Neurospora crassa OR74A: one gene and its partners. Each later gene encodes a partner of the first gene's protein in a complex. Links are inferred from orthologs where the notes say so. Each region holds a gene or a part of one and is shown on either strand. Other genes may lie near its edges. The genes, in order: NCU04063, NCU04463, NCU03029 and NCU07710.

Region 1 (7,900 bases):
ACCCCCGCACGGCGGCATCCCGACTGGACAGTCGGCACACGGGACCCCACGAGTTCCATGCCCCTCCGCTCACTTGGCCGGGAATGGCGACTCGACGAGAAGCAAAATCAGTAACCAAAATTCCAGTCCGAGGTATTCACACGTGTCAGTATCAGTTATGTGAATCCACGCTAATATGAGAATGATAAGCCTCCTGCTTGTTGTTGTGAGAATAATTATAGTACAATAACAAATGCCTATTACGCCGGTGTAATAGTAATAATACTCCGAAACAATGCTGACATGTAACAAGTAGTGAGAGAAAGTATGAACCATGCGCCTGCCTAGCCTCCTGTGGCCTTCTTGAACGCCATGCCCAAACCCTTGGTATCGGAACCTGACCCAAGCCATGACTGAAGCAAATCCTTTTCGTACCAAACAGTTCCATATTCATGTAAACCCTTTCCTTCTATCCCAGCAATGTGAAAATACGTCCCTTGGAAACCAGTCCATGCTCGGAAATGCGCAGCAACAAAATCGAATGCTCGACACGACATCGTGTCGATGTCCCCTAAACCGTAATAAAGCCGTAACAAAAGTGAGAAATCATGTAACAATACGATGTCGCGCCTGCAATGATAACAAACTGGTCGTCCCAGTCCCCATACAGTGATTCGATTTAACCAGCAGTGAGCCAAGGTCGAAACACGGTATCCTCGACTTTGAGGTGCCGAAAACTTAAGCGGAAGAAGCAGGCTCAGCGGAAGCTATGCCCTTGTCGTTCGCATCCAAAGAGCCAGAGACATCGTCGTTGGGGCCAAAGTCGGAAGGGCTAGTGCTAACCTGCTCGCCAGTCGCCACATCGACAAGCTTATCACCGTCGACCTCGACCTCTCTGTTGCCGATGCGACGCATCAAATCCAGGAAAGTCGACTTTTGAAATTTCTCGGACTGGTTGTCGGCGACCGAGGTCAAAATGGCGTTGGCTGCCTTGGCCAGCTCCTCGTTGCCCTCGCGACGACGAGCCTCGGCTTCTTCCTTGGCTTCCATCTCTTCAGCGAGGTTCTCCAGATCAGCATCGATAGTGGCCATTTCCTCGTCGGTGGGGGGGCCGACTTTGGTGTTGTTCTCGGCGCTCGGACCGTGCTGCGCCATCCACTCGGCCTCGGCAGCCTCAAACTCCTGCTGAGCTTGCTGAGCCTTCTCGGCCTTTTCCTTCTCGGCCCACTCAGCAAGTTCTTGCTCAAAGGAAGACTCGTCGTACTCGCCAAAGGCTTTGTTAAAGGCTTCGATGTCAAGTGCCGACTCGACGTGGTCGTTGAGGCCGAACTGAGGCTGCTGATGAGTGAAGTTGTTCGTGGCTGTGCCATGCATGACAAAAGGATCGTCCATGGACAATCCCATTCCCATTCCCATTCCCGTACCCACACCCATTCCCATACCGCCGAACTGGCGAGTGTTGTAGGCCATATGGTCGTCCTGCAAGCCCATCATGGAGTTGTGGGTTGCAGTAGACATGGCTGCCGGCATGGCTTGAGGTGACATGGCCGGGGCCGCGTGAGCTGTGTCCTGACGGAGCTGCATGCTGGCGAACTGGTCGACCCAGCCGTGGGCAGCGGCACGGGAGGAGTGCATGGGACTGGCCGTAGCCGGCGCACCTCCGACCGCATGACCAAAGACACCAGGCGCTGGACCAGCATGAAAAGCCGGGACGCCTGGGTTGTTCAGGAACGTATTATTCGCAAGGCCGAGGGAAGGACCCGGGGCGTCGAGCATAGGGGCTTGCTGAAAGGTCTCAAAGGCACCATCAGCAGCGAAGGAGGGGCGGTTTCTGAAGGACTGGATGGGTTGTTAGCACCGAGTTACGCTGGATATTCTACGACAAGACAAAACAAAAGAAAGCGATCATATCATACAGCACCGGCAGCCGAGTTGGGCGAGTTGACCAGGCGGTCCTGGTGAAGAGTGCGGTCGCGATCAGCGTGCGCAAGAAGGTTCTTGGCACCGTTGGACGGGCCGCACATGCTGTCAGACATGTTGAGCGAGGTTTGACTTGTTGGAAGCAAAAAGGCGAGAAGCGCGGGTGACGGTAAGTTTCGAGAAAGAAATTACAAAAGTAGAAGGTTTTATAAATAAAGAGTGAGGAACGAAATGTCCTTGAAGAGAGTATATAATTATTGTAGAGCGAGGAAGACTTGGATGAGTGAGCGAAAGGAGAGTTGTAAGTTGTAAGTAATGTAGATTAGTGGCGCGAAAGTAGAAGCCGAGGTTCTTTGAACAGCGCGATAGTAGTCACCGAACCCGCCGGTATCTCAAGTCTTCAACGCTAAGTATTTGGAGAAAAGTAGTTGGAGAGGGGGGAAGATGGAAACGAGAAAAAAAAGAGTAAACAACGCCGGACCTAATACCACGAAAAGGACGCGACTGATTACTGTGTGTAAAGAAATCCTTTTAGCAAGCAAACAAAAAGCGTCGCTGATTTTGAACAAGTAATTCTGGAAGAAGGGTCAAAATGGTCAGGTCTGGTTGAGTGAGATTCCATCCCAACTTTTTGTGACGGGAGTGAACGCTGCCACGGCACTGGCGAAATTCCCGTCGGGGTAGCCATGCGCTCACACGCTATCATGTGCACGGCATGTTCAGTGGACTTTTACAGCGGGACGGGAGAGCCCAGGCGACGCGTGGGGTCGTCAACGGGCCCCTGCCTCACCTGCCCCACCTTGGTTGTCTCAACAAGAGTCCACTTCGAGCCTCCGACCTGGTTACAATAACGTCACACCACGGTGAGCCTACGAGGAAACCGACAAAGGCTCCACTCACCTTGCTCACCTTGCTCACCTTGACTTCTTGCCAGCTGGACCACATCGCTCGACAGGGATCACTGCGCAAGCGTCAAGTGGAAGCTCCAGCGCAGCAAGACGGGTTCACCTATCGTGTCGCCTGGGCGTCCACTGCCTGTAGCTTGCAGCTTCCATTCCCAATGCCCGTCCGTGGTGATCCAACTTAACAGCAACTGAATCCCCAACGACGGCCCTTTTTCCTTTCTACTACTCTGAGTAGTGTACTTTATAACTCCAGTCTGAATTCATTCATCACCCAAAGGACGCAAATACAACTCCATACAAATCTATTTGTCTTTTCCACAATCTTCAATACTCCATAATTAATCAACATGGTACGTCCTCTTACACCCCCAAAGCTGCCGGCGGCGTCCCTCCCCCTTACTTGGCTACCTATCCACTAACATGAAGCTATCGCGACAATGACAGACCGCAGGCGCACAGGTTATCGCCAACTCTGGCCACGATGATATGATTGTACGCTGAACATCGCCCCCTCGACGTTTCCCGACAACCATCCCTCTGTTTCTAACCGACCCTCGCAGCACGATGCAGTTCTCGACTACTACGGCAGGAGGTTAGCGACATGCTCCTCGGATCGCACCATCAAGATCTTCGAGATCGAGGGCGAATCACAGCGACTTGTTGAGACATTGAAGGGGTATGTTTGCGATGGGCTACAGTCACCAAACAATATGGACAATGGGTTAACCTCCCTTCTTCCGACAGACACGATGGCGCAGTTTGGTCCGTAGCATGGGCGCACCCCAAGTACGGCAACATCCTCGCCTCGGCAGGCTACGACGGCAAGGTTCTCATTTGGCGCGAGCAAGCCGGCAGCTGGCAGCGCATCTTCGACTTCGCCCTACACAAGGCTAGCGTCAACATCGTGTCCTGGTCTCCCCACGAAGCCGGATGCCTCTTGGCCTGCGCCTCTTCGGACGGCAACGTCAGCGTTCTCGAATTCAAGGATAACAGCTGGGAGCACAACATCTTCCACGCCCATGGCCTGGGCGTCAACTCGGTCTCGTGGGCCCCCGCCACCACCCCCGGCAGCATCGTCAGCAGCAACCCCGGCCCCGGCTCGACGGGCAACAGACGCTTCGTGACTGGCGGTTCCGACAACCTGCTCAAGATCTGGACCTTCGACCCCGCGACCAACGGATACAAGCTCGAGCGCGAGCCCCTGGCGGGTCATACAGATTGGGTGCGCGACGTTGCGTGGAGCCCGACTGTGCTTCAGAAGAGCTATATCGCAAGCGCCTCGCAGGACAAGACGGTGCGCATCTGGACGAGTGACGCGGCGAACCCGGGCGAGTGGAAGTGCAAGGTTCTCAACTTTGATGCGGCCGTCTGGCGCGTTAGCTGGTCGCTCAGCGGAAACGTGCTGGCCGCCAGCAGTGACAACAACAAGGTCACACTATGGAAGGAGAACCTTAAGGGCGAGTGGGAGAACGTCAAGACCATTGAGGAGTAAAATCACATGGGAATTCGGTCACGTTATGATGATGATGGGTGGCGAGCGTTAGCATAATATTGGTAGGTAGGATATCTACTCATCATCCAGAGTGGGCGTTATCGGGTAATAAATAAGGGAGGCCAGCGAAAAGGAGCAGGCTTACCTTCGGTTTCACAAGAACATATCCAGGTTGGCTTCACATGAACCGCTCGGGACAATGAAGAGATCATACCGAGTTTTATCTTACACTATCACATTACCTCGGGCTTACGGGGAGTACATTTGACCCAGTACATCCCACCTCCCAAGTCATCAACGCGCCTTATCCATCTTCTCTTCCAACCATCCCAACACAATCTCCCTTCCCCTCTCATCCAGATCCCCAACACCTTCCAAATCGCCAATCGCCATGTCCTGATCGTCCACCACGCCCACGTCCGCCACCTTGACCCTCCTCGCCGCCTCCAGCTCCCAGTGGTGGAGGTCGATCAAGTAATCCTCGTCCCACTTCCGCCGCTCTTTGAGTTCCAACATCTCAATGCTCCGCTGCATCAGCAGCGCCAGTTCGTACGCTTGCGTGCGGAAGCTGTTCTCGCCAGCGGTGATGGCGACCGGGGGTTTGCGGTGTTTTCGCGTTTTGAGACGAGGGCGGGGTTTCTTCTTTTCCTCTGCTTCGCCTTGTGCTGAGTCGCCCTCTTCGTATTTCTCTCCCTGGCCTTCTTCTTCTTCTTCTTCTTCCTCCCCCTTTATCTTCTTCTGCTTCTGCTTCTGAACACCACTAAGTCCCTTTTGATTTCTGTTCCGGGCCGCGGCATCAACAACCCCATCATCCTTCCCCCCCTCCGACGACCCAATCTTCGCCAAAGCATCACACTTGAACGGCAACTCCGCCGACGGCGTCTCATACAACAATAACGTATCCGGCAGCTTAAGCATGGAGTGCCTCGGCGGGAAATGCACATAGCTCTTACGTGGGAACTTGCCAGGTAGAATCTCTACCTTGAGAGTTTGTTGGAGCATGTCTTCGGCCGCTACCTCGTCCGGCTCGCCTTCGGCGTCGTTGATCATCGACATGTGCATACGGTAGTGCTCCGAGTGCTCCGAGTTGTCGGGATCGAGGTCGTCGGTGGGGTTTTGGCTGGCTGGGAGGGGCGACGGAGCCGGAGGTTGGTGAGGAGGGGGAGTAGAGGGGGAAGTCAATGGGTCGTGGGGTTCGCTGGGGACGTCCGCGGGGACGTTGATGTCGCCGCTGCTGACACCATTGGCGCCGGTACCGGCACCGGTAATCAATGGCCCTGGAGGTGGCGGAAAAAGCCATTCAGGAACATACTTCTCATCAAAAGTCGTCGGAACAAAAAGTCCCGCCGTGTGGAAAAACAGACAAGCGCTAGCAAAGCTGTCAAACAGTCCCGACGGCGAGCCAAAGAGATCTTCGAGCCGACGCTGATAATGGGCAATGATGGGTGAGGTGGCAGCCGGTCCTGCATCTTTGTCGAGGTCGCGGTTCAGCTTGTGCAGCTGCTCCTCGATAAGGATGCGGTCGTCGCCCTTGGGCCGGTGGATCGGGTGGTCAGGCAAGAAAGTGGTCCAGTCGTAGATGCCGTTGTAGGCGAGGAGACCGCGTACGGCCATGCGCGCGTGTGGGTACGACTCGGTGAGAGCCAGCCCGGCGGCCAGACTGGCGCCAAGGTAGGAGCCGCAGATGTAGACGTCTTTGCGTTTGGGGTATCTTGGTTGGAGGTTTTGAATGATCCAGGAGTAGCCAAAGAGAACGTCGTGGATAGGGGTGGGCCAGTGAAGGGGAGTTATGCTGATATCTTCTTCCTCTTCCTTGGGTAGTCGCTCTTCTTCTTTGCTATTAGGCGTCTCGCTCGATTGATATCCTTCATCGTCAAAATCGGGCTCTTCAATCTTTGGCTTGAGTTTTGGCTGTGGTCTGTCGTCGTATAAGCCAGACCATCTATAGTGAATGACAGCGGCCGAGTATGTGTGAAGCCATGATGGGAGTTGATAGTTCGGGTCAGTCTCGTCCCGAGCAGCAAAGGGCGGGATCCAGATGATTAAAGGATCGGTTGGCGGCCGGTCAGCGACATTGTACAGACTGAGCCACAGATATCAGTCTAAAATTGGCCTTCGTCACTCACAGCTCCCAAGGAGACTGTTGATGTTATGTTGACCACCTACCTGACGGTAATTTCACCAGAAGAGGCGCATGGAACAGTATAGCGTTCTATCGAAGGCTCAAACGGGGGACTGCTACTGTAGAATCTTCTATGGGACGCCTGGTGCGAAAATTTTGGTAAAGCGACGGTGATGCGCCTAAGTCTCAGTGCTAGAGTCCATCTGGACATCTTCTACGGAGTTGCCAGTGTATGATGAAGTTCTGGCATAGTTTCTTTGTCAGACCCTTTCTCATTTCACGATTTTACAACTGAGTAAGAGGCCTTGGACACTGAACGAGAAATTCTTACTCGTCGGAGCACCAACTTATCCCTTCGTCTCTTTCCTTTTCTAGATGCAGAAGAATACCCCATGGGAGGTTATGACTTGCCAAGCTGGATAGTCAACGTTGATGTCACGATCAAAGCTGGGTGTTGTTTTGGTGTTGTGCTGCCGCCAGAAATTGTTAAGAGACGACGACCATAAACAAATGGAGATACGTACCTACAGCAAATCACTGTCTGGCATCTGGTGGCAGCTGAATTCTATGGAAAGTGGGGCCATGTGACCCTCCACAGAACAAGCTCTCGTTAAAACCTTGGCAGAACTTGGCTTTTAGCGATCACCGCAGCCCTCCAGAACATGTTCTTGCCCAGGGCAGCACGTCATATGATGGATGGGGACGGGAATCAACGTGACAAACAACCCGACATTTCTCTTTCAGCTTGGAAAGGGCTGGCCAGGTTATTCCAGGAAAGTATCAAACCAACTTGTCTTATATCTTTACTACCGTACCTACCTAGGTAGTCCCAATGAACCACCACCGACATTCATTCATGCTTCGTCCTTGCCGCCGTGATGCTACGATAATTCGACGATGACATTCAACAGCAAGCGTCCATAGGGGAACCCATCCCGGTACCCCATGACACTTCATTTTACAACTATCATCATTTTGTCTTTCTTTTTTTTTTTACTGTATCTCTCTTATAATCGCATTAATACTACCTATCTGACAACATGCAGGACGCTGGTGGTGAGAATGTGGAGGAACATCTTCAAGAGGTCGATGCGCAGTACAAGGCCTCACTTCCCAAGCTTATGGGAGAGGACCAGGCCCATCGAGATCCCAGGTAAGTCACATCAGAGTCGTCCTTGGGTACTCAGTTTGTATACGAGTATATACTGACGGTCTGGACTTTGTCAAGTCGATGGTGGTTTGCCTCGGCTGCTTTTCCCATGGTCGCAGGCACACTTGGGCCCGTTGCAAGCGCCTTCAGTATCTGTGCTCTAGTCCGGCCATGGAGACAGAATTACACCAAAGGGGCTGACATCAAGACCGCCACCTTCATCAAAGACCCAGCCTGGCTGATCGCTATCAATGCAGTCCAACTTGCCATCGCGCTAAGCTCCAACCTGGCGCTACTCCTTAACATGACCAGGAGACTCCGGTTCTCCGTCG
Region 2 (7,472 bases), on another chromosome or scaffold:
CCATCCCCGATCAAGTCTTTGAGCGGTTAAACAGGGGAGAGGTCAACACGCAACTCGGCCTATTTGCCGACATCAACTACGCGTGGGCTGCTATTGACAGCTCCCTCTTTCTCTGGGACTATACCCACCCAAACCCCGAACTTATCGGCTACGAGGATGCCACCACCACCATCACCGCGGTTGCCCTAGTGCCCCCCAAACCTGGCGTGTTCGTTAGTAACATCACCCATATTCTAGTCGTTGCTACGGGCACCGAGATAGTTTTGCTGGGCGTATCCGCGACACCTACCCCTTCGGGATCGAAGACCGTCGCCCTCTACCAAACAAAAATGGCAGTACATCGCGGAAGCACCGATGTCAGCTTAATCATCGGTACCTCGAACGGCCGTATCTTCTTTGGCGGTTATACCGATACCGACATCTACGAGCTCCTTTACCAGCAGGAGGAGCGCTGGTTCTCTAGCAGATGTGCCAAGGTCAACCACACACACCCTGGCTGGACATCAGTTGTTCCTAACCTCCCAGTGCCAATGGGCTTCTTGGGCCACCGTGATCAGGAACACCTTGTTCAGCTGGTTGTCGATGATACTCGGAAACTCCTATACTCGCTCTCGGACAAGTCCACCATTCGAACATACTTCATGGAGCCCTCTGGGAAACTGACAAAAGTCATCGAAAAGAACAAGGTCTCGTGCCTTAGTGACATGACGCATATGGTTGACTTGAACAGAAACCCTTTGCTTAACGAGAGAGTGAGAATCGTCTCTCTTAGCGCCATCTCGGCACAAGAAGCCTCAAAGTCTCACCTCATGGCACTCACCAACACCGGATGCCGTTTGTTCCTTACTGCGACGAGCGCGGCATCCTACATGCTGAGCGCCTCAACCAGCCTTGCTCCTCAGAGCATGCAGGTCCAATACATCAAGTTTCCTCCTACGAGCGAAGACCAGCAGGTTCCCCTCCGCAACGAGATCAACACTGCAGTTGCATATGCACCTGCACCTGCAGCAGCTCAAGATCAAATGTCTGGCTTACTTTCGGAAAGTTGCCTTGGTGAACGTTTTCCTCCGGGTTATTTCTTCGACGCGGTTCGACCCAAAGAGAGTCGCACGGATCTGCTCTTTGTATCAGCCCCCGATGTCGGCAGACTTAAGCAGAGCGCTGTACTCAGATATGTTGAGCAAGGTACTTTCATCCCCTTGGGTGACGGAAGCCGAGTTCTTTCCATCGGTCTTACTGGCAACCCTTTTGCGGCTGCAAAACAACCGCTCGGATTTGGCAACGAGCTAGCTGTTCAGTTCGATCATACCCCAAGCGAATTCGCTGTGCTCACCAACACCGGTATCCATATCGTTCGCCGCAGGAGGTTTGTTGACATCTTCGCTAATGCGATTCGTGTCGCATCTGGCGATGAGGATTTGGACAGCAAGGTGAAAACGTTTACGGCCATCTACGGCAGGGTCGAAATGGTCGCGGCTGCCTTGGCGGTAGCATGTGGTCAAGGAGGAGACGCCCGTCGTGCTGTGGATCCTCTTACTGAGGACAGGGCGCGGTCCATCTTCATCAACTACGGTGGTCAGCCCAAGCTTGCGGACGCAGATGTTTTGCAGGCACCGGAGGACAACGTACAGCTCTCGGCTCGCCACGATGCGCTGGTGCTCTATCTTGCGCGCCTCGCCCGCACCCTATGGAAGTCCAAGGTCATTGAGATAGCCACGGATAGCGCTTCGGGCGGGTTCACTGTTGGCTCGGCGATTCCCATCTCCAAGCTCATGACGGTACAGGAAAGTGTGCAACGACTAAGGAGATTCCTTGAGGAAAACAAAAGTCTCATCCAGGGCCTGGCCGGACCCTCCGATCGGGTTTCTAGCAGACAAGAGGAGATCGCTTTGCAGCTGGAGCACCAGTCTCTCCACGCTCTGCGTCAGCTTATGGACAGCGTGTCTGAGGGCATCTCTTTCGTCTTGATGCTGTTCGATGAGCGGGTAACCGACATCTTCATGCGCCTAGATGATTCGTCCAAGCAACAGCTGCAAAACCTTACCTATGAAGCTTTGTTCTCTCAGGACTCTGGAAAGGAGCTCGCCAAGGTTCTGGTGAAGGCTATTGTTAACCGCAACATTGCCAACGGAGCCAATGTCGAGACCGTTGCCGATGCACTCAGGAGAAGATGCGGCACTTTCTGCTCCCCTGATGACGTTGTCATTTTCAAGGCTCAAGAACAACTGCAGCGGGCCAGCGAGTCATCGGGCAATCCTAACCTGATGCGCACCTTGCTTGCGGAGAGCTTGCGATTGTTTTCCCAGGTCGCGGGAAGCCTGACCATGACCAACCTGCGCAACGCGGTCGAACAGTACATCAATTTGAAGTATTACGCTGGTGCTATCCAGCTGTGCTTGATAGTTGCGCGAGAGAAGGACCGTGGAAACGCGGCCCTTGCTTGGTTCAACGAAGGCAAGCCGGCTAACGATCCCCGTGAAAAGGCTTTCAAGGACCGGCAAAGTTGCTATTCCTTGATACATGAGGTCCTTGACCGGCTAGAGATTGAGTCGGCCTCAGAGCCCGATGTTGTTGACGGTAGGCCAACTCTTGCTGCCACCAAGCGGGCGGAGGCATACAGCGTCGTCAATAGCTCAGACGACGAGGTCTTCCACCTTGATTTGTACGACTGGTACATTGAGAAGGGTTGGACCGACCGCATGTTGGCCATCGACTCTCCTCATGTCGTAACGTACCTGCAGAGACTCGCTGCGGTTGATGCTCAGCACGCCGATCTTCTTTGCCGGTTCTACACACAACGCAGCCGCTTCTTCGAGGCTGCTCAAGTGCAGGCTGAGCTCGCCAAGTCAGACTTCCCCCTTGGCATCAAGGAACGCATTACCTTGTTGAGCAGAGCAAAGGCCAACGCCAGCGTCACCACTGTCGGTGTGAGTCGCCAGCAGCAGCAGCTTCTCAACCACGAAGTGACTGAGCTTCTGGAAATTGCCCACATCCAGGACGATTTGCTTGAGAGATTAAGGGCCGATCCTCGCATAGTACCTGAGAAGCTCCCTGACATCGAGAAGGTTCTGGATGGTCCTGTCCAGGGCCTTTCTACTGTGAGTCAATCCCTAAAAGTATGATGCTATTTTAGTTGCTAATCTGTACCATGTAGCTCTTCAACGATTTCGCCGATCAGGCCGGATACTACGACCTTTGCCTGCTCATCTACAACGCCGCGGACTACCAGAACCCGCACACCATCAAAGAGACGTGGGAGAATCTCATCAACCAGATCCACTTTGAGACCGAGCAGAAGCAAGAGGTGTGGCGCCTCATTGAGGCAGGCGAGGCATTGCCCGAGGGTGTCGAGGCTCTTGAAGTTCCACCCCCTATGCCTTACGAGGCTGTTGTCTCCCAGATCCAGTCCATTGCCCACCGCACCTCCCTCGACAGCCTCATCTTCCCCGTCGACACTCTTCTCCCCATGGTCTGCGCCTACGCCATCAACAACCACCAGGACGCCTCGATCGGTGCTGACCCTTGCTGGCCTGTCGCTGCCTTCCTGCAGCTGGGCGTTCCTCATGCCCTGATCGCCCGCGTGCTGGAGAACATGTTTGACGCTCAGGAGGCGCCCTTCGTTGGCAAGCACAGGAAGTTGGTAGTACAGTGGATCAACTGCGTCGTCGACTCGTGGATCCGCGAGATCGAGCACCGCGGTTCGGCATCGGGTAAGAACGGCGACGGCGCCATCACCACCTGGGTGGCTGAGCTGTTGACGAGGGCCGAGGAGGCGTTGGTTGCGATTGCGGCCGGCACCAGGGACCCCGCTCAGGCGGCGAGCATCACGGATACCAGGAGGGACACGAGAGAACTGAAGAGGAAGGTGGAGATGCTGTCGCAGGCCGAGGCCCAGGGCAGTCTGTTGTTCAGCACCAGGTAGGACCAGGTGAATCCAACGACTCCCAAGACGCCCATGAATAAGAAGAAGCGGACGTCGTATAAGACCACGGTGGAGGAAATTCCGGATGAGAGTTGTGGTGCGGCAGGGGAGGATTCAATGATGGGTAGCATCCCGGGGAAGTGGAAGAGGGGGTTTACCTGAGACATGGAAGCGAGGGAGTTGCTGTGAGTTATGTTTACGAATATTGAATATTGCTGCCTCTTTTGTGTCGGGGCCTTGAAAATATCGCTATGAAGATGGCGTGGCGAAGAGAAGGAAACCAGAATTAAGAGAAAGCGATACATTGTTGATTGACCTTGGAAGTAGGTGTTTTCGATACTATCCGCCGTGGTCCTCTTTCTAGCATTTTGTCGAGTAGATTGGTACCAATGGCTTTGGTGTGTGGGTAGGTTGGTTGGTTTGGTTAATGTGTACTGTACATAAAGTATTTATGTGACTTTTTTCTCCACGTTTCATCTCTCTGGTACTTTAGACCACCCGGGCCTGCTTGCTTTGGCTTCTCATTTGCGTCTTGGTACATGAAGATGGTTGAGTTGATATTGTCGATGTGTGTGTGAAATGCTGGTCGGTCTCCACTTTTACCCCTTTTCACTTGATCTCTCAGGATAAACACTCGTGCTCGAGAGGGTGGTTTTGCGCTTTTACGTCTGGCCTTGAATCATCAAAAGCGGAAGCAAAGAGAACGGGGACTTCTTTCGAATAGTTCTAGGTGCCAGTACAGAGGCATGGCACGAAAACACGCCTGCATCCATGGATGGCTAACTGAGATCAAGCTCTACTCGACAATCTCCTTTGAGAGTCCCTTCAGTCTCCAACCAGATCAAAAGCAGGAACCGGGGGTGTCAATGCTGAAGACCGTGTACGTCCAAAACCCAAGTCCCTCAACCTTCAACGAGTTTGAGTAGGGGAAAAGAGCTGCGCTTCTAACGAAAGACCAGCAATCAAGGTAAGAGAAAGAAAGAAAAAAAAATTATGGACGCGGAGAGGGGAGAGGAGAAAAAAGGAGGTAAATAAATTGCACGGTCCGTGATTCGAGCCCGGGTCTTTATCTGGTGATTCATGTTCCGATTCCCTCTGAAACTCGGTCTTTGACTGTGAGTCCACGGGGATTCCAACTCTGTTTCTCAACCCAAGTGGCGCGCTAGACCATTGCGCTAACCGTGCTTTTTTCTTGGGTTTGTTAGTAGAAACAAGATCTGAGGGGGTACCATATGTACCCCTATCGACTGGATGGAATTGGAGATAAGTGACGAGGAGGCTGCTGGCAGAGGATGGCATGGGGCAGTGGGCAGGTTCAGACTTGGGAGGGATGGCAGGAAGGAAGGAAGGAAGGAGATACGTACGCCCCTGCTGGCTAACTCTACGGCTACTGTAACGATAGTGACAGAAGATGTTGGAAGATGGTTTCAAATAAACTTACTACTAGCACCGCTACCTTTTTGTTCCCTTTTCTCTTGTCATGTATGGTCTTAATCGTCTGCATCCCTTCCCTGTTCTCGTTCACTCTTTCCATTACTCCTTCCCCATCTACTCCATCACTAACTACTACCAATTCTCTCCTTGATTACTAGCAAATCTTCTCGCTTTGTCCCACCATCACCGCAAAGGTTTCCAAACAAGTCAAACATTGCCAACCACTTCACTCACTCATCTTCCGCTGACACCCAACCTCACACAAGCACCACTAACCAACTTCCAACCCATCAAACTCACCCTCATCCTCATCTTCACCCTTTCTTAGCCTCGCCTATGCCACCAATCCCAGAATCAGTGCTGTCGGAGACACTACAGACACTAGCTTGGTGCGGTCGGTTCTCCTTGGGTACCTGAATTGGTATGTATTTGCGAGGATGATAGGGAGATTTTGGTGAGAGGTTCGATGAGTGGCCCGAAAGGTTGGGGGAGGATGGTATAGGGTTGGTAATGGAAGCAGGAGCGACAGGTGAGTAAGATGTGTAGTAGTCTTCTGGTGCTTGTTCTGGTTCTGGTTCTGATTCTGGATCCTGGTCGCCGTGGCTGTCATGGTCATGTCCCATTTCCACAGATTCTTCTTCATGTTCAGCAAGATCCATACCTCGTTGTTGTTGTGAATTTGCAGAGACACTTCTTCGACCCCGCCGCTGAACCTCATTCTCATCCAGCATCACATCCTCACTGCCCTGTCTTTCCCCGCACTTCTCACTCTCCTCGTACTCCTCATGATCCAAAAGAGACATTGGCTCCCCCATGCCAACATCACCATCTTGCTCCTTCTCTAAACTTAGCAGCTCCACAACCGACACAGACACTACTGAAGGTGATTTCTCACCAGAGTGTCTCGAATATCTCGATGATGATTGGCGCGACCCTTTCCGTTCATCCTGCTCATCTGGTTGTGGACTCAACGCCGCCTTAAACCCACCCGACCTGTAAGCGGGAGAAAGCGAGGAACGAGAAAAGCCAGGTGGAGCTGGAGAGCGAAGCGGGTGGGAAATTGCAGAGATAGGTGCGAAATCCGTCACTGTCGGCGATGGGGGCATCGAAGATACCCCTGACCCTGCGATGGAGCGTGATCTTGGGGAGTGTCGTGAAGTAGGACGGCCATAGCTCTGACGACCTGAAAAGTGTGGAATCGGGGACTGATGAGGCGGTGTAGGTGACTGAGGGGGGCTTGAGTGCCTTGAGGTAGGATTGCTATGGCTACGGCTGTAGCTGCGACTGTGGCGGTTCGGGGAGCTTGGAATCTGGGAGTGATGGGATCGTGTAGGAGACTGGGGCGGGCTTGAGTGTCTGGAGGCCGCATAGCGCAGCGAGTGGTGGGAGGGGGCGCGAGAGCCGGGGGATAATGGGTTGAGGTCCAGCCTGCGTGATGTATGGGAGCGTATGGAGGGCTTTGATGACGAATGTGAGGCATGTGAACTCGGTTTGGGGGTGGTGTCTCTGAGGGCTGCGGTGGGTGAGTTGCTGTTTGATGATGCTGGAGATCTGCCATGCGGTGATACTGCCATGGAACGGCGCCTTTCTTTTGACGACGCATTCGTTGGAGCCTTCACGTAACGAACACCTGAAATTCGTCTTGCGGAATTGTCACGCTGAGATTCCGCTTCCGAGCTTGAGTGTGGGTGTTGTGAACGTAATTCTGATACAGGTGACCGTACTCTCGACTCATCATTCACAAATGGTTCCCGGATTGATGCTTTCGAATCCCTTGACATGTTTTGATGACTGAGATTCAGTGACGTCGACTTCTCAGAGCCAGCCTGAGAAGATGCACTCCTCTCACTGATCGTACCTGCTTCTGACATTAACTTGCTGAAGTTTGCCTGCGCCTCTGAAACGTCTTGTTTTGAGATCACGCTACCGTCTTCTTTGGGCGAGCGAACACCCATGGGATTCGCAGCAGGTGTAGTTGAGCCAGGCGCAGGACCATCTGGATGAGGGCCGTCCGAGGGACTGCCCGAGGGGCCACTGGGTGGAGGTCCATCCCCATCCGGAAGAGGCTCATCAGGCCCAGAATCGCTTGAAGAAGACGAGCCACTCTCGTGACTTG
Region 3 (8,287 bases), on another chromosome or scaffold:
TCGACAATGATGTTGCCGAAGCCAGTGTGGGAGTGGATAAGGATGGTGGCGGCGAGGACGGCGTCCATGGTGGGGTTGAGAGAGCCGGCGGCGAAGGGAGCGACGGTCAAGGGAATGAGACCGGCGGCGACAACACGGTCGAAAGTCCAGTGGTAGGAGCCATGAGAAGGAGAGGGAGGGGGGACCTCGACGGGGTCGTTCACTAAAGGTAGGTGTTAGGCTATTGTTTGCATGCATGTGATGTCGAGGTGTCGTGGTGGATGCGCTTTTCGCAACCCGGCATGGGGGTTGTTTGGTTCATGACGGGCAAGGAAGCATAGCTGTTGGGTTGTTGTTCGTACCTGTACCCTCAATGCGCTCTGTCCCCCTCATAGTGTTAGCACAAATACCGATCCATGCAACATACGTTGAACCTGTATTAAGGTCCGAGTGTGCGTGTATGCGATTACGTACGAGGAGGAGGGGGGAGCAAGCTCTTGCGGGAGGTGGTGTGGAAGGCGGCAACACGGAGACCGTTGGCAGCAACGGACTGCTGGGCCGCAACCTGCTTGAGGAGGGCAGAGGAACGGGCGACGGAAGCCATTGTTTCTGGTGATTGTGGTGGTGATGACGGGTGTTGGGTGGTGATGTGGTCGAAGCGTGGTGGTGATGGCGGACAACCAATTGGACTTTCGAGAACGGGAGGGCGGTCTTCGCAGGAGATATCGTCGCACGGGTCTTTCGGTTGGTTCAGGACAGGATCGTGGCCGTGGATCGCTAGGAGCGCTGGGAGTGACGGGACGGGCGGGCTCCGGAGTGGAACGGACTGGTGCCGAGCTGCGAGTCCTGATGTAGCTTATCCCTCGGCAATACTCGGCCAATCGCAGCATAGAAGATGTCAGCGGCAGCGTGTGCCGGTCGTGGCTCGGCGTGGAAAATCCCATTGTTCCCGGCGTGGCCGTAGCTTTGAGATTGGTACCTCTCACTACGTACCGGATCTTGCTGCATCCAGTGGGTTGCACATGCAATCCAAGGGCCCTGTCCCCCCGCCAAACCCGACCCGGCAAGAACAGGGGTGGCCCAAGCTCCCCTCCGCCGTTCCAGAAATTATTTCGCAGTCGGAGATGCTAGCGCGTAATGATAGGTACGGCAGCGCGTTAGTTGGGGCGATAAGATACCTATCGAGACCTTCGCTGCACCCGGGTTGGGACGAGGGGCCATTATTTTTTTTCGATGGCGCCGTAGTTCGCCGGTACCTTAATGACTGGCCGAAGCTATCATCGCCGCTTGTACACTCCCAACCTACCTCAACACCAGTCGACTGATCCGCTCACACCACGCGACCCCGGATCTTCAGCCGGAAACCCTACTGTACCGCCTGGGCATCCCGACCAATCTACTACCGCGCCCTTGGAACCATAACCAAACTCTTGCAATTGCCCAGCAAGGGACCCAATTCCGGTTGATCGGATCGCAAAAAGAGGGCCGGAATCGGCGCTTCGGGTTGCGCTACGGATTGCGCCCAGTTCCCTCTCCTTCCTTCTTCTAGCCGTTGAGCGATACGCAGCCAAACATCACATCAAATGCTGCTTCGCACAAAAGCCCTAATACGCTCCGGCGGGAGTATCGCCAAGTATGCTGCGGCTAACCCATCATGCTTCATTCTCCAACGAAGAGGACTCAGGCGCGAATTCGGACCAAAGTACACGGCCAAGATCAATGAGGCCGAGGAAAACTGGCAGGCGAGGGCAGAGGCCATCAAGAAGGGCAAGAAGCAGAATACATGGGACCTGTTTGAGGAGAGAGGCTATGTCAAGGATACAGCTGGGTAAGTTTAGACAACTGGCCTTTCGATGCGCACAGGAACATGACTAACACGATTCTTCTACCAGCACCAAAGAGCACATCGCCGAGCTTATGAGGACGAGGCGGATTGGGGCATATGTCGGCATCGATCCTACCGCACCATCATTACACGTCGGCCATCTACTCCCCCTGATGCCGCTCTTTTGGATGTACTTGGAAGGATACAAGGCATTCACCCTCATTGGAGGCTCGACGGCAAAGATTGGAGACCCGACTGGCAGGCTAAAAAGCAGAGATCATTTGAGCAGCAGCGATGCGACAATGAACATGACTAAGATTCACTACCAACTCAAAAAGCTGTGGGAGAACGTGGACACTCAGATGCGAGCGCGTGGTTACGAAGCCGATTGGGCGCGGAAGCGAGGCATCGTCAACAACAACCATTGGTGGAACAAGCAGCCCATGCTCGAGGTCCTGAGGAGGGTAGGTCACGCCTTGCGCATCGGCCCCATGCTGTCGCGCGATACCGTCAAGAACAAGATGACCCAGGGAGACGGCGTGTCTTTTGCCGAGTTCACCTACCCCATCATGCAGGGCTGGGATTGGTTCGAGTTGTTCTACCAGCAGGGAGTTCAGATGCAGATTGGAGGTTCTGATCAGTACGGCAACATCATATCTGGTCTCGAGGTCGTCAAGGCCGCCCGAGAATCCGAGCCCGACCCGCAGGAGCGCAAATATGTTACGCCCAAGACTGCCCTTGACGAATGCGTCGGCTTCACCGTCCCTCTCTTGACCGATTCATCCGGTGCCAAGTTTGGTAAGAGTGCGGGTAACGCCATTTGGCTTGACCCCTATCAGACCTCCGTCTTCGATTTCTATGGTTACTTTGTCCGCCGGTCCGACCAAGAGGTTGAGAATCTCCTCAAGCTCTTCACTTTCATGCCCATCAGCGAAATCACCAAGACTATGGAGGAGCACATCAAAGACCCTAGCAAGCGTGTCGCGCAACATACCCTTGCGCGTGAGGTTGTGACGCTGGTGCACGGTAAACAGGAGGCCAGCGCCGCCGAGGACCAGCATCGTATGATGTATACCGGCCAGATGACCATTCCCCAAGTCTCTCGTGCCAAGGACGCAGCCACCGGTGGCGATCAGTACAAGACGATTTCAGATCAGCCTGTCACCCTCAACAACGCGCCCCGTATCGACATGATTCTCCCCGAGTCGCTCATCATGGGCAAGTCTATCGGCCGCATCCTCTACGCCGCCGGTCTCGCCAGCAGCACCACCGAGGGCCACAAGCTCGCGGCTGCCCAGGGCTGCTACGTCGGCGGAGCCCACAGAGCCGGCGGCGAGAACGTCACCATGAACCCGGACCTCATCTCTTTTATGCCCGTCAAGCTGTGGTTCCCCGGCGAGACCCAGCGCTACCTGATTAACGGCAACCTGCTAATCCTCCGCAAGGGCAAGCACAACGTGCGTGTAATCCAGATGGTCAGCGACGTCGAGTATGCTGCTTCGGGCCAGACGTACCCCGGACAGAGCTTTACCGGCGCTGTCAGGAAACTGAATGAGATTATGAAGAACCTCAAAGAGAAGAAGTTGACCCCTGAAGAGGCTAAGAATGCTGTGAACGAGCTGCAAAAGAGTTCGCAGGAGAAGCAGCAGGGCCAGCAGATTATCTTCCCTGAGGAAAAGAGCAGGCAAAAGAAGGATATGGAGACCAAGCTTAAGCAGGAGATGATTGCCTCAGTAAAAACGATTGATGGCATGATGGACGAAAAACCCTCTGTGCGGGGAGATGGGGTGAAGAAGCAGACTCAAGATGATAGGGATCCGTATAAGTGGTAGAGAATGTGTAAGATTCTATTCGCATGGTAGGGTGGCACAGAGAAAAGGCATAAAGGTTGGATTGGTTGGACAAAAGCGTTACTCCCCATACATATTTTGTAAGATAGAAGCATGAGAATACCCGATTTTTGGACATCATAGTCAATACCGTGGAGCCCCGCAATATGAAAAACACAAACGACAATATGGTATTTCCAGAATGATCATGATGTTTCTCAAGCAAACATTTTGAAATACACGGATAGTTAGCGTTCATTCCTGGGTCCTCCGATGCTGAAGTCGAAAAGGGGTTATGTGTTCTCTGTTTTTGTGGGAGGGGTTAGGGTTATATGTGAGGTACACACTAGCAGCCATTGACCTCGTAGCACCAAGGCACCTTTCCCAAGACAAAACACAATACGTGACAACTTCTGGCAAACCGACCACGGCGACGACTACTATGCTAACGTCATCTTTGGTTTGCAAAGTGTCTGATCATTGTTCTCAAAAGCAATTTCATTCTACTTCAGATTCGGATGACATCTATACGCTACTCGGTAGAACCAACCGATAGAAATGAGCGCCGGTAACATCCGATGAGACCATATTACTCGTCTCGGCGTCAAATCCAAAGTCGCTTTTCCCAACACCAAGAAGACCCTGGGTTTCGACAACAATCATTTAAATCATGATTCAAGCAATCTTCTATGCCAGGTTCTTTCCAAAAGAGGGTACATATAGCCTGCCTTGCCCGTCACTCATCAAAGTCATTTGCCCACCCATTTTTATTGGGTCTGGCCAAGACAGCCCAAAGACGAAGTGTAGTGAATCTCAAGCTAACCAGTGGCACTTTTCCCTAACTCAGGAACCAAAATCGTCGCACAAAGTCCACCGGGCTCAATCGTGCCAGTTCCACTTCCAGAAGGCACCAATGGTCCCCTCAACAGGAAACCATGTCTCTTCGACTTCAGCGTGCTCCAGGAGTACATCATCCCGCGCAAGGCCTTCTGCAACCGCTTCATCACCGTCAATGACCCGGACGGCAAGTACGTCATCCTGGGATACCCCGTCTCCATTCCGGACCCGCGGTACGACCGGAACGAGTTCATTTTCAACTTTGGGCTCGTCATCAGTTGCGATGTGGTGGACCAGATCCCCTATGAACGCGTCGTAAGGAGGCTGGCGGCCACCTTTGCCGAGATGGAGAAGCAGGACGGCTACCTGAGCCAGGACGCGGCCACGAGGGGCGGAGCGGTCGCGGTTCATGGGTATGGCAATGGCGGGGGCCGTTGGGTGGATGGGGACGGGAATGAAATGGTGAGTATGCGGCGGCCGATAGAATCGTTGCTGGAGATTGTGAAGGAGGATCTGAATAACTATGGAGAGTGCATGATTCCCATTGGTATATCTCCCTACCTATTCACCCCCCTTCATCACCTTAGTTACAAAAAATGCTGACCGTTTCAAAACAGACGACGCTAACACAATCAACATGAAACTCTTTCCTCACCACGTCAACCCCCCTGAAGTCAAAGGCTGGCACGTCCCCGTCGCCAAGATGAAGTTCGCCGACGTCGTCGACCCAACCTGGGATCTAACCCTGCAGCGCGTCGTCGCTCATATCGATGGCGTTTCCGACGTGCGCCGCATTGCTCTGGCCTCCGGCGTCTCCCTCGAGCTGACCCAGCTCGCCCTCCGCCACTTGCTCTACTACGACACTATCCTGCTCCTAGACATGTTCTTGTTCGGCGCGTGCTACGCCCCTCGCCCGGGCATCCACGACTTCATCGCCAACGTAGGCGGCATGGTCGACGAATGTGCTAACTACGTCTGCGTCGGACCTATCGATCCGTCTCCCAGCAGCAGCAACAACACCGGCACCGGCGCCGGACCTTCTTCTTCTTCTTCTTCCTCCGACAACTACCACCGTCTCCGTTCTGTGTCAGGAAGCACCACTTTCCACAACCACAATCCCTCCAACCTCTCCACCTCTGCCAGCACACGCCACAGCCACCTCTCCCCCTTTGGCCTTGGCCCAGGAGGTGGTTCCGACCGCGATCCCAGCCCTTACGCCCAACACCACCTCTCCCCCGTCCACGAACGAAAGCCCTCCACCTCCCCCCGCAACCCTTCCTCCAACATCCACTCCTCCTCCTCCCCACCGTCTAACAAGCCCCCACCACCCAACGGATACCGCATATCCAACTACATGCTAATCCGCCTAATGACTACCTTCTGCGTCGGCAAAACCGTGGCCGAATGGCTCAAGGGCCATATGGATTCCGGCTTCGACGTCCTACGGTACGTGGACGTTCGCCGCTTAGTTCAATTTGGCGTCATCAAGGGGTGTTTGTACAGGGTGCACAAGTATGTTATCTCGAAACAGTATCTGGCTGCGCTAGCTACGGGGTTGGCTAGACCTGTTTCGCCATCCGACACCGGAACTGGCACAGGCAAAGGGAAAAGTGGGAGGGGGTATGGCGAAGGGGAAATGGGGAGGGAACATAAAGTGGCGGTGCCGGGCGGACATTATGATACCTATCGTGAACCCGGGAGTCATGGGGGTCCGGGGGGGAAGGGGTCGAACAGCAAGAAGATGGCGATGATGATGAAGGCTAGTGGGGATCCGTTGCAAAAGTATATGGATGGACGACATTGTTTTGATCAGATCATGACGGAGAGGAACATGACGGACGCGGAGATTATGGATAAATTGAGGAACTTTCCGGTGCCGGCTGGGGATTTGACGGTGCTTTATCGGTAGAGGGAATGATAGCATGCAAATAAGAGTTGATTAGTGGTGTTGATAGTTAGCCCGGCTACTGTATGCGAACTCGTCTTCTTAGAGGACAAAAGAACCTTGTTGATTCAAGCAAGAGGAGACATGTTTGATAAAGATCGCTAAACTGTAAACATGTAAACCTCCTTACGTGAGGACACCCGCTGAAGGGGTGTTGTTTTGAGCATCGTCTCTGTGCTGGACTGTCTATCGTCCTCCTGAGCAACCATTATCGCTAGATATTTGATTAAAATATATCTAGCACGGCCCAACAATGACCTCGCCAGGAGATAACACTGCACTCCCTGGACATCCTTCAATCCACTATCCCCTCGACATTCTGTCGTTCATTGTGAATACCGCCGTATCCTTGAGGAACAGCAGATAACTGTCAATCTCCGGTCCACATCTCTGCACCGTCTAGTAAAGAAATTTAAGTTAAGAACCGCCCAGAAGATGTTCGATAGCACCCTGTACGCTACCACCGCTGCGGCGTAGTGCAGCAACGTTCCGATCAAAATCGAAGAAACCCATATCGTTGAGTTGACGCAGCTGCTCAGCATACCTCTCCTCTGGCGGCCTGTTGTCGGGAGGAGCAACGGGATTTCCGCCAAAACCACCCAAACCACCGCCACCAAATGCCTGCATCATCTGCTGCAAGGCCTCAGGCGAGATAGGGGGCAAACCAAAAGGGTTCGCGGCACCAGCCTGACCAGGCTGACCAGCACCTCCAAGCGCTCCGAACAAAGATGCCAACGGATCTGCTTGCTGCCCAGACCCCGAAGTGGCGCCAGTAGCCGGAGCAGATGCGGCATCCCCGCTCCTGGCACTCTCGGTCGAAGCTCCGGTAGACGCAGGCGAAGACCCCGCGGGGTTTCCAAAGAGCGCGGCAAAGGGATTACCTGCTGGGGGAGCGCCCGCCGGAGGAACACCAAATGGAAGAAACATGGCGAACGGGTTCTGCGCATCGGCATTGGCGTTGTTATTACCGGCACCGGTCGTCGCGTTCGGAGTGTTGTCCGTTACCCCGGGCGCTGGAAAGGCGTTGGCGCCTCCGCCCATCATCCTACGCATGCGTGCCGCCATGCGAAGTGCCTCCGGGTTCGTCATCATGTTGCGCATCATCGGAGAGTTGAGAAGCTCGCGAGCGCGATCAGCGGGCATGTTGGCCAACATCGGGTTGGAGGCAATCATCTGGTCGATGACGGCGGGGTTGTTGAACGCCTCGGCCATGACCTGGGCCATCGCTGGGTTCGAGAGCATGTTCGCGATTTCATCCTCGCTAGGAGGCGCGCCCATCTATAAAACATCATTAGTAAACAGCTATGTTAAGGGTCCAGGGGGCCGAGAAAGGGGTGGCGTACTCCTCCGTCCGGCCCAAACAGGTCTCGGCTTGGTAGCGGCACCTGACCGGCAAAGCGAGCGCCTGTGAGGCCAGCTAAAAGGTTATTCGAGGGAGTGCCGGCAGCCATGTTCTGAGGTATCGCGGGCTGAGCGGGTGTCGAGGTTGAGCCACTGCTGGCTGTCGCGGCGCTGGCTGGACGCTTAACCATGTGCACTGTGTTCATGTGCTTGATCTTGTAGAAACTAAGAACTTCATCGTCCTTCATGACCTTTCCGGAGTAGATGAGGCGTTGCTGCTCCGGCGAGATGTTCTCGTATTCCTCCCCCGCTAACAGGGTCTTGAGCTGAAGGACGGTCGCAGACTCGGCAATGGTGACTGTGTGGTTCTTGTCGCCTGAGCATTTTACTTTGAAGGTAATCTGGCCATCGCCGCCAGTATTTGAAGCCTCAGCCATGATTTCTATCGCTTTACGATTCGGCAATGAAACGGTTAATGGCGGTCGTGGATGATGACGTTGGTCTCAGGGGAGCTCCGATCGCCCCACGTTC
Region 4 (8,310 bases), on another chromosome or scaffold:
TCATTGAGGCCTCTGTGCTTGCCCAATAACGACCACATACAAAATTGATGCAGAAAAGGGCTAAGGAAAAGGGGGTGGGAAGGAATATTTACTTCGAGAACATAGGGGTGGTGTTGTAAACTCGATCATAATCCAGCGACCGGGATGGTGTGATACAGTGCTACAGAAAGTAACACTCTAACGACACTTAGCTCACTGCGCATCAAGGGCAACGGGCTGACAACACGCAAGCCCAGCACAGGATCCTCTTCCGCACACCAGATGACAAGTTGTCGCCGTGCTGGCCTGTCTTCCCTTTGCCAGCGAGACACTGGTGGTGGTGATTGACGAAGCTGCGCTTGTAGTGCCGCAAGGCGTTGTCGTAATTGACTCATTCTCGTCCACAAGACCGTCGCCTCCATCCGGTAAGGCTGTAGCTAGCGTTGCGGATGCCTTACTGGCCGGAACAAGCTCGTATTCTTCGTATCCGGGCGAAAGTTCCGGTTGGACAGTGGCCGAATGGATCCCGTAGGCGTGAAGACACTCACCGATGGTCCTCGCTTTGTCCATAAAATTCACGATACCATCTTCTGTGAGAACGACGTGGACAGAGGCGATGGCCTTGTTCTGATCGAGCCTCCAGACGTGCAGCTCGTGGATCGAATCGACTCCTGGAACCTGATCCGTGAAGGAAAAGTCAGTTGCTGTTCTTACCGTCGTTTGGATTTGACAAACCTTCTCAATGTCGTGCTTGATATCATCGGTTCTTACTCCCTTCGGAGCACTTTCGAGAAGAATTTCGCCGCTGTTCTTGATCAGGGGCACAGACGACAGTATGATCATGATAGCAATACCCACACCAACACCGGGATCAGCATAAAAGCGAGCCTCGGACTTGAGTAGCCAGATCAGGAGTGCGGCCACGATGACCCCGAGATTGTTGATCGCATCGCCCATGGCGTGAATGAGCGCGGCGAGCATGCCCAGATCGCGGCGTCGAGGCTGCTGGATATCAGGAAGAGAGGAATGCCGATGCTGAAAGTGATGGTAGAAAGGCTTTTGTTCAGCACAACTGATTAGTGTCCGTCTCAAGTATGTATCGGGGACCTTGAGTTGACCTTACAGACTCTGTATCTCTATCCGCCCGACAACATGTACCGAAGTTAAAAGCTACTTCATTGTCATGTTCATGCGAATGCCCTAGAGAATGCCCGTGACTAATATGGTCATGTGGCTCTGCGAATGAAGTGTCAGATCTATGTCTTCTGGCTCATAGATTCACGACCAACCTACCATGCAGAAATGTGATTGTGATAATGTTGAGTGTGAATCCCACACATCCCATAATCAGCATCAATTTTGGGTCCTCCACTCTTTCAACGGTGATGAAACGTTCAATCGATTGGAGGAAGATGCTCGTCCCGAGGGCAAGTAAGAAGACGCCATTGAAGAAGGCGCCCAGAAGGCGGGCGCGCTGCCATCCAAAGGAAAACCCTACAGGTGTGCCGGTCCCTTCGGTCTTCTAGGAAAAGTGTCAGTGCCTGAACCGGGTTAGATGATACACAGATTTGCAAGAGGAGGAGTCTCATGGGAAAGAATGAAAATGACTACTTACAATAATGGCGGTTAAGGTGACAGCAAAACTAATCAGGTCGTTCAACTGGCCGGCAAACTATTAGCATGGGTTAGGATGGTCACAGGGTACGCATTAGAGAAGTACATAGTGAAATGCGTCTGCCGTAAGGGCCAAGCTTCCTGTCTTGAAAGCAACTGTGAGGTTGTTGTCAGCAATATGTTCCCTTGTCATTTTGACAAAAGAAAACTTGAACAAATCAAAACGAAGAGACAAAGTGGCGATAGAAGTAAATAAACGCGAACAGACCAGCAAGTTCTGATACAAAAAAGGCAGAGGATATGGCGATTGTTGCGGCTAGCCTCTGCTTCTGTCCAATTTTGGGTGCCATTGCTTAACGTGCAAGTGGAGGAAGACGTCGAGGTCGGTCGGAAGCCAGTTATAGGTGTTTACGTAGATTGCCTGGAAACCGACTTGAAGATACCAGATATAATGTTGACGCTGAGACTATTGCGATCGAGTTGAGACCCAGAGAGGAGCTTTTGCACCGTCCCGCCTTCCCGGGTCAGCTCGATTTAAGGGAGCAAGTACATTCTAACCGAGTTGGGTACAGCAGGTGCGACACAGACGGACCTGCACGTGAAGCGTGAGCCAAAAAGGTCCTCTCCCTTCCGGGGGGTCTTTGGAAGTAGGAAGCCGGTCGGTATCCATCGACGTAAGGCGGCCACTGGACAGGCTGGCGATGCTATTCTTAATGATCAAGTCGAGCAGCACTTCGTTGGTGCTAGACCAGCAGCCTAGAGAACAAGGTGGATGACAATGGCACGTTGGACAGTGTACCCTCTTCGACGTCAAGAGCGAACAAAGTCGACACTGGTCCCAATGAGAGTTCACACCGTTGGCGAGGTACAGTATAGAGCTTTGAACCAATGACTCCCAGGCACAGTCGATGCTGTAACCGACTTGCAGTTTGTGTCTTGATCGCTTTGTGACTGGGTAAGTTGAACCAAATCCAGTTCTATCGCCTTGCAGAAGAATTGACCACGATTCCTCCCCCATTACTGGCATGTAGAAAGCGCGCACCCTGTGCAAGAGATGTCGTGATAGGTGACCACTATTCTAACTTGAACCGCTTGATGAGAAGGCCGATGGCAGCAGAGCATGGGCAAGATGTGTGCTTTAAGACCGGAATAATCTCAGAGGGGTCTTTTAGGGGAGACAACGAGGCTCTGACAAACAGCTGGAGGCTGGTCATTGATGTCGTACGGGCTTAGGCTACGGAGCACGGCGGCGGCGCTGCCACCTCACGACTTTCACACGGATGCACGAAGAGTTCCCACCATCAGACAGCCGTGTAACTTTGGCGGGCAGGTGGCTTGACGCTTGGGTTAACCATGGTATAAGAATCTTTACATTGGCCGTCGCGGTCCGAACGGACGGGAGGAGGATAGTGAGGGAAATTGGATTTGTAGAATTGTAGGTGAAGAGGCTGGAAGTCCTCCGATGTCATATGTATGATATGGCCCGTGCGCCTCCAAAGTGCCGTTCGGCATCGTAGGGCGGTGAATGAGGGCACACTGAATTCTGCCGCATCCCAACTGTCAGAGCATCAGTACACTGCAGGTACCTACCTCTACAGGGCTCTACAGCTGACCGTACCTGCAGCTAGCACAGATGGTCCGAGCTCCTGTGCGGACGTCGCCCCGTCTCTCTCTCAGGCTGCGTTTCAACTCCCACCAGACTTCGTCTTTGAAGGCGACATCGTGCCAATCACTGCATGTATGTAGACGATGAAATAAACTTCGTACACTTTCGGCAATATCCGTCTTACATATTCTTTCTTGATCCTCTCGAATGTGTCTCGTAGGCATGGTGGCCTCGAGATCGCAACCACCGACAGCGAGCTAGGAATAGGGCGTGTTATCGACCTCCTAATCATTCCACCTGAGCATCTGACATCAACGCATGGAACCAAGCCGATGATTACTGTCAGACGGCATTGATGGCGTCGCGCAATTTCTCTTCGGGGGTGCCGGGACATGTCAGGCCCCCCAACTGGTCGTCGCACCTCCGGCAGTTCAGCAGAAACAGCCTGGAGCGCATCCCGGATATGCCCCGGTCCCCGGACACTGTCTCTAGTAACTCGACCATCCGTGACCGGCCCTCTTCATCCTCAAGACGTTCACGTTTCGAGAGGAGGTGGACCGTTACCGTCAACGAGTCCTTTGCTCGCGATGAAGTCTTGCTTAATCTTGATCTCATAGGTGATGAGGCAACCCCAGGCAGCCTCATGGCTATCGACGTCTTCCGACCTGATGCGGAGAAGCAAGCGCAAGGTTCTCATCACCATCACCACCACCATCATCATCACCATCATAAACAGCCTCCACCGGACCGCACAAAAGAGGCTGCAGAAAGTCAACAGCGTTACATCTTTGTCGTCAAGGACATGCCCAAGGAACTCAAAGCCCGCTACCCGAGTGTTGAAGTCTACGTCGCAAAGCACATTGCTGATGTCTTCGGCATGAGGAAGGGTTCGCAGGTTACCCTGACCCCAGTACGCCCCCACTCCTCACTTGTAGCCGCGTAGGATTCCTACTAAACTACATAGATTGATCATCATAACCCAGCCATCGAGGCCTCGCATGTCGAGCTTTGCTTTAGAGACCAGTACATGTCGCGCTCCGACATGTGGCAGTTGGCTGTTCGTGAGCTTTCAGAGAAGACTGTCTACAAGGGCCAAATGGTTCTGTTCATGGGCACTCTCAAGGCTCAGGTTACCGCTGTCTATGTTGAGGGCCGTAAGGTGCCATCCGCATTCTTTGGCCACAATACAAAACCCATCTTCCGAAGCGAGTCTGCTCGATACGTGCTTTTCATCCAAATGGCGCGCGAAATGTGGGACTTTGATTCAGATGGCTCTGGTGAGATCATGTTCAACAAGGTTGTGAACGGTTTTTTGCCAGCTCTGTTCAAGAAATGGGCGTCACTTAAAGTCAGGCACCTTGTCAGTATTGTTCTCTTTGCTCGAGTTGAGTATGACACAGGCATATCCACCGAGTTGGGCAACCCGGACGTCCAAAATGACTACTACACTGGTGTCCAGTCGTCTGGCGATCGTCGCCCTTACAAGGACTTCTACCGCGTTGTTGTGAGCGAAATGGGCAGCGGCGAGTGGACCAAGATCCTCTACCAGTTGAAGCGCGAGTTTAACTACTTTCGAAGGGATATTAGCACCTTCCATCAGAAGGCTATGCACTCCTTTTCTTCTTCAGATGACCCAGCCGACCAGCAAGCAGCCTTGAACAGGATAACGGCTGAGGCGTCACGAGCCATCTATGGCAATTTCCTAGAGGCGATCAACATGGCAACCTCGCTGTTTGCGCACGATTACATAGATCGTGATTTGATGCGAACCGGCATTTCTGTTGTCGTCATAAGCCCTAGTCCGGGGATTTTCGAAGTCGAGTACGACGCACTGCGCCGTACCACCGAAGCCTTGGTTGGAAATGGGATTGGTATTGATCTTATATGCATACCCAAGGCTCCTCTCCACTCCGTGCCCCTGTTTCGGTATCGCAACCCTGAGTACTCGACAGAACCGACACATCATCACAAGGCAAAAACAGCGCCGAGTCTTTCCAGTACTCCTAAACAAACAGCGCCGACGATTGGGAGCTTTAACAGCATGGCGGGGTCATATTCCCCAAGCAGAGGCACCGACATCACTCTTCATGGTGATTATGCTGGCTCTGGCTTGGCTCAAGATGAATGGAATTATGCTTTGCCGCAATGGCTACATGTTTCTTACTGGACAGGCGAGTCCGAGGAAGCCCTGTCATACCATGGCATTGCTTTGTCGGTCTCTGATGTTTCAAAAACACGGTCAGGGGACGACTTCTTGATAAGATGTCGCATGTATGACTTGCAAATGCGCAGCGTCATGGAAACCAATGAGATTGAAACCAAGCCGTTGCATCTGGATCCTTATTTTCCTCATAAGGCATTACAGGCAAACAACGTACCGAAACCGTTTATCGATCAAGATGGCAACGTCTTCATACAAAACTTGCGCATCCCAGAAACACTCTTTGATCACGTGTACGGTTTCCAGAAATTCGCCCCGGATAAGCACGCAAAGTTGGGGGAGAAGTCACTCTGGAAGCAATTGCAGGACTACGACGACTCGAGAGCGCGCCAGCCGTCATTTCGCCACACATTGGCGCCTCCGAGTCATATTCGGGAGTACGATGATTCCGTCAGGCGACATCATGCTGATGACGCGAGTCTTCTCGGGACGTCATACACTGAGCGTAGGCCGTCTACGAGTGCCTCACAAATGACTATGACTGGGCATAGATCCAGTCAGCGCTTCAATGCCGACAAACCTGAATCGCGTAACCGTAAGACGGTCGACTTCGACAAACTCAACTCCAAGCGTTCACCAACAATCACTCCAAAAGTTCCAAAGTTCATGAAGCAGATCAGCCTTGGCAGCTCCGGTTTTCGCATTGCCGCACCCAAAGCTGCGACGGCAGAACTTAGCATTGAAAGTGTGAATGCTGATAGATCATTGGCATCTTCAAGGGCTTTGATGAACGCGGGCACTGTTGCAACTCCAGCCAAAGCAGCAATCAACCGGTCAATGTCGCCCCAGATGTTCGCGAGTGGAACTCCCGTTTTCTCCCCTTGGGGCGCTACACCAGGCTCATTCGCGCCCAGCCATCAGTACTTTGAGGGTACTCCAAGCCGGCCGATGCCAATCAAGTCGCAACAGATTCCTACTGACCCTGCAGCCAACATGCTATCAGGCTCGATGCTTGCCTCAACACTACGGGCCGATTACGTTCCTGATAATCGCGATCTCTTCTATTCAGATGCAATCAGAGCTGAGGATGCGAAGAAGGTTTATAATAACAAGCTTTTGGCCGGAGCGGTACCGGAATTACCGTCAACTTTATCGCCGACAACCGCGCTGTCACCTTGGCTGACGTTGGTCAACCCGTCGAACCCTGATAGCAACAAGGTCGATATTGCCACGTTGTACAGTCGTTGGCAACATGTGTTTCCTAGGCCAAACGAGACGCGGGTGATGAAATGGAAGTCTTTGTGCTCCCCCGCTGCCGTTCCACTAACCACAGAGTACTTCCCTACCAAGGCACAGTTCGAGTCAGAGTACCACCGTCAACCGTATAATGTCTCGCAAAATGCTGATGATGAGCTGGCCGAGGAACCCAAGTCACGCGACGAGATGCTGCGCGAGATGATCAGTCTCAGATTCTGCCAAGGATTCCAGGTCGTTGTAGGCCCAGCTGTTGCCAAAGCCTTTGGCCAGAAGCAACTCAAGGTTACCGACATATTCTCCCGCGACCACACAGCAGAGGATGGTACAAGCATCTTCATGTCGGTCGGCAACACGATCCACCAACTGTCGTGTGTGAATGGCACCGAAATTGAAGTTAATATCTTTGTCCGGAAGCCGATCGCCTCGGCGGGACTGTACAATGACCGTTACTTGTACAAACCGGCGATACGAACTCTACTTGACCACGGTTACAAAACCCGTTCTTATGACATGGTGGCCCCAACGCCTGATCGGAACTGGAATTACGTCGATGCCTTTGTTGCAGGGCATAATGACGAGTTGTCCGAACATTTGAGGTTTTGGCGCGCTAGGTTCGTCCTGATACCAATGACAGCCAGACACTCGTTTTTCCCCAAGACGCAGTACGGGGACAGTGAAGAAGAGATTCGCATCGAAGGCATTCGGAAGCTTGCGCAGATGTGGCAGAAGCACAGGTATATCCCGGCGAGCGAACGGAGCTTTCAAGCATCGCGTCGCAAAAAGGACATGAATCCCCTTGATATCGTTTACAAAACAGAAGATCCATCCGTAGTTATTGCGGCCGAGCTGGAAACGCTTCCGTTGTTGGAGGGCCTGGAAGGCGGGCACAGGAAGGGTCAGCTGGTCACGAGCAGAGAGCAATTTTCGAAGAAGAACTTCAGCCTGGCAGCATTGGCAGAGGCTATCCAGCAGCCCGTGGAAAATGGAGGCATTCGAATGCAAAACCGGCGCTGGCATTTGCGCCTCCATTACAACTGCTTCATCGGCTCTGACATGACCACTTGGCTCCTGGAGAACTTCGAAGACTTGGAGGACAGAGAGGAAGCCGAAGAGCTTGGTAACCGTCTCATGGTCACTTCAGATGATAAGTCGAAGGATGAAAGCAAAGATGGGAGGAAGGATGGCGGTGGACTCTTCGTGCACGTTGAGAGGCGACATCCTTTCAGAGATGGCCAGTACTTCTACCAGATCAGCAGCGACTATGCGAAACCCAACCCTCCAGGCTGGTTTAACACAAGGCGGGTTCCAGTGTCTGTCCCATCAACACCGCATTCGGAAGTACGGGATTCACCAAGGTCCAATGTGTCGATGTCAAGACCAACATCTATCCACGAAGACAGCTCTCCCACCTCTGGAACGGTTACCCCAACGGCAGCTATGATGGCGGGTGGCAAGAAGCCCAGGGTGGTTCTGAGTAAGGTCATGAAATACGATGTTGACCATCGAAAACGCTCTTACCGGCCCGAGGTGGTCGATTTGCATTACGACAGACTTCACAACCCCGACAATTGTTACCATATCCGGATCGACTGGATGAACGTAACAGCCAAGTTGATCGAAGATGCTATTGAGGCATGGGCTCGCGAGGCAGCCTTGTACGGGCTCCGGCTCGTTGAGGTTCCTATCAACGAAG

The links.
Region 2: NCU04063 (region 1) and NCU04463 share a complex: the UniProt entries of both Saccharomyces cerevisiae proteins name them as parts of the nuclear pore complex. The link is inferred for Neurospora crassa OR74A from reciprocal best matches to the Saccharomyces cerevisiae genes SEC13 and NUP170.
Region 3: NCU04063 (region 1) and NCU03029 share a complex: the UniProt entries of both Saccharomyces cerevisiae proteins name them as parts of the SEA complex. The link is inferred for Neurospora crassa OR74A from reciprocal best matches to the Saccharomyces cerevisiae genes SEC13 and NPR2.
Region 4: NCU04063 (region 1) and NCU07710 share a complex: the UniProt entries of both Saccharomyces cerevisiae proteins name them as parts of the SEA complex. The link is inferred for Neurospora crassa OR74A from reciprocal best matches to the Saccharomyces cerevisiae genes SEC13 and IML1.

What each region holds. Positions count from the first base shown.
Region 1 is NC_026506.1:2,620,353-2,628,252, forward strand, and holds NCU04063 (protein transporter sec-13), read left to right. Parts: upstream 1-2,929; 5' UTR 2,930-3,151; coding exon 3,152-3,154; intron 3,155-3,248; coding exon 3,249-3,296; intron 3,297-3,364; coding exon 3,365-3,480; intron 3,481-3,548; coding exon 3,549-4,296; 3' UTR 4,297-4,590; downstream 4,591-7,900. Other genes in the region: pex20 (peroxisome biogenesis factor 20), read right to left, coding at 718-1,818, 1,896-2,015; NCU04064 (hypothetical protein), read right to left, coding at 4,591-6,379, 6,463-6,629; NCU04065 (potassium channel protein), read left to right, coding at 7,459-7,571, 7,647-7,900. UniProt on the Saccharomyces cerevisiae protein: Functions as a component of the nuclear pore complex (NPC) and the COPII coat. It is one of 5 proteins constituting the COPII coat, which is involved in anterograde (ER to Golgi) double-membrane transport vesicle formation.
Region 2 is NC_026504.1:3,270,060-3,277,531, reverse strand, and holds the end of NCU04463 (non-repetitive nucleoporin), read left to right. Parts: coding exon 1-3,098; intron 3,099-3,154; coding exon 3,155-3,922; 3' UTR 3,923-4,392; downstream 4,393-7,472. Other genes in the region: NCU04464 (hypothetical protein), read right to left, coding at 5,671-7,061, 7,215-7,472. UniProt on the Saccharomyces cerevisiae protein: Functions as a component of the nuclear pore complex (NPC).
Region 3 is NC_026501.1:8,386,304-8,394,590, forward strand, and holds NCU03029 (hypothetical protein), read left to right. Parts: upstream 1-4,022; 5' UTR 4,023-4,303; coding exon 4,304-4,346; intron 4,347-4,480; coding exon 4,481-5,017; intron 5,018-5,087; coding exon 5,088-6,379; 3' UTR 6,380-6,551; downstream 6,552-8,287. Other genes in the region: tca-13 (succinate dehydrogenase cytochrome b small subunit), read right to left, coding at 1-202, 342-359, 454-583; cyt-18 (tyrosyl-tRNA synthetase), read left to right, coding at 1,563-1,807, 1,872-3,636; NCU03028 (deubiquitination-protection protein dph1), read right to left, coding at 6,833-7,693, 7,759-8,193. UniProt on the Saccharomyces cerevisiae protein: Component of the SEA complex which coats the vacuolar membrane and is involved in intracellular trafficking, autophagy, response to nitrogen starvation, and amino acid biogenesis. Mediates inactivation of the TORC1 complex in response to amino acid starvation.
Region 4 is NC_026504.1:2,121,423-2,129,732, reverse strand, and holds the start of NCU07710 (vacuolar membrane-associated protein iml-1), read left to right. Parts: upstream 1-3,308; 5' UTR 3,309-3,554; coding exon 3,555-4,109; intron 4,110-4,163; coding exon 4,164-8,310. Other genes in the region: NCU07709 (cation efflux system protein czcD), read right to left, coding at 193-657, 715-1,051, 1,098-1,215, 1,273-1,333. UniProt on the Saccharomyces cerevisiae protein: Component of the SEA complex which coats the vacuolar membrane and is involved in intracellular trafficking, autophagy, response to nitrogen starvation, and amino acid biogenesis.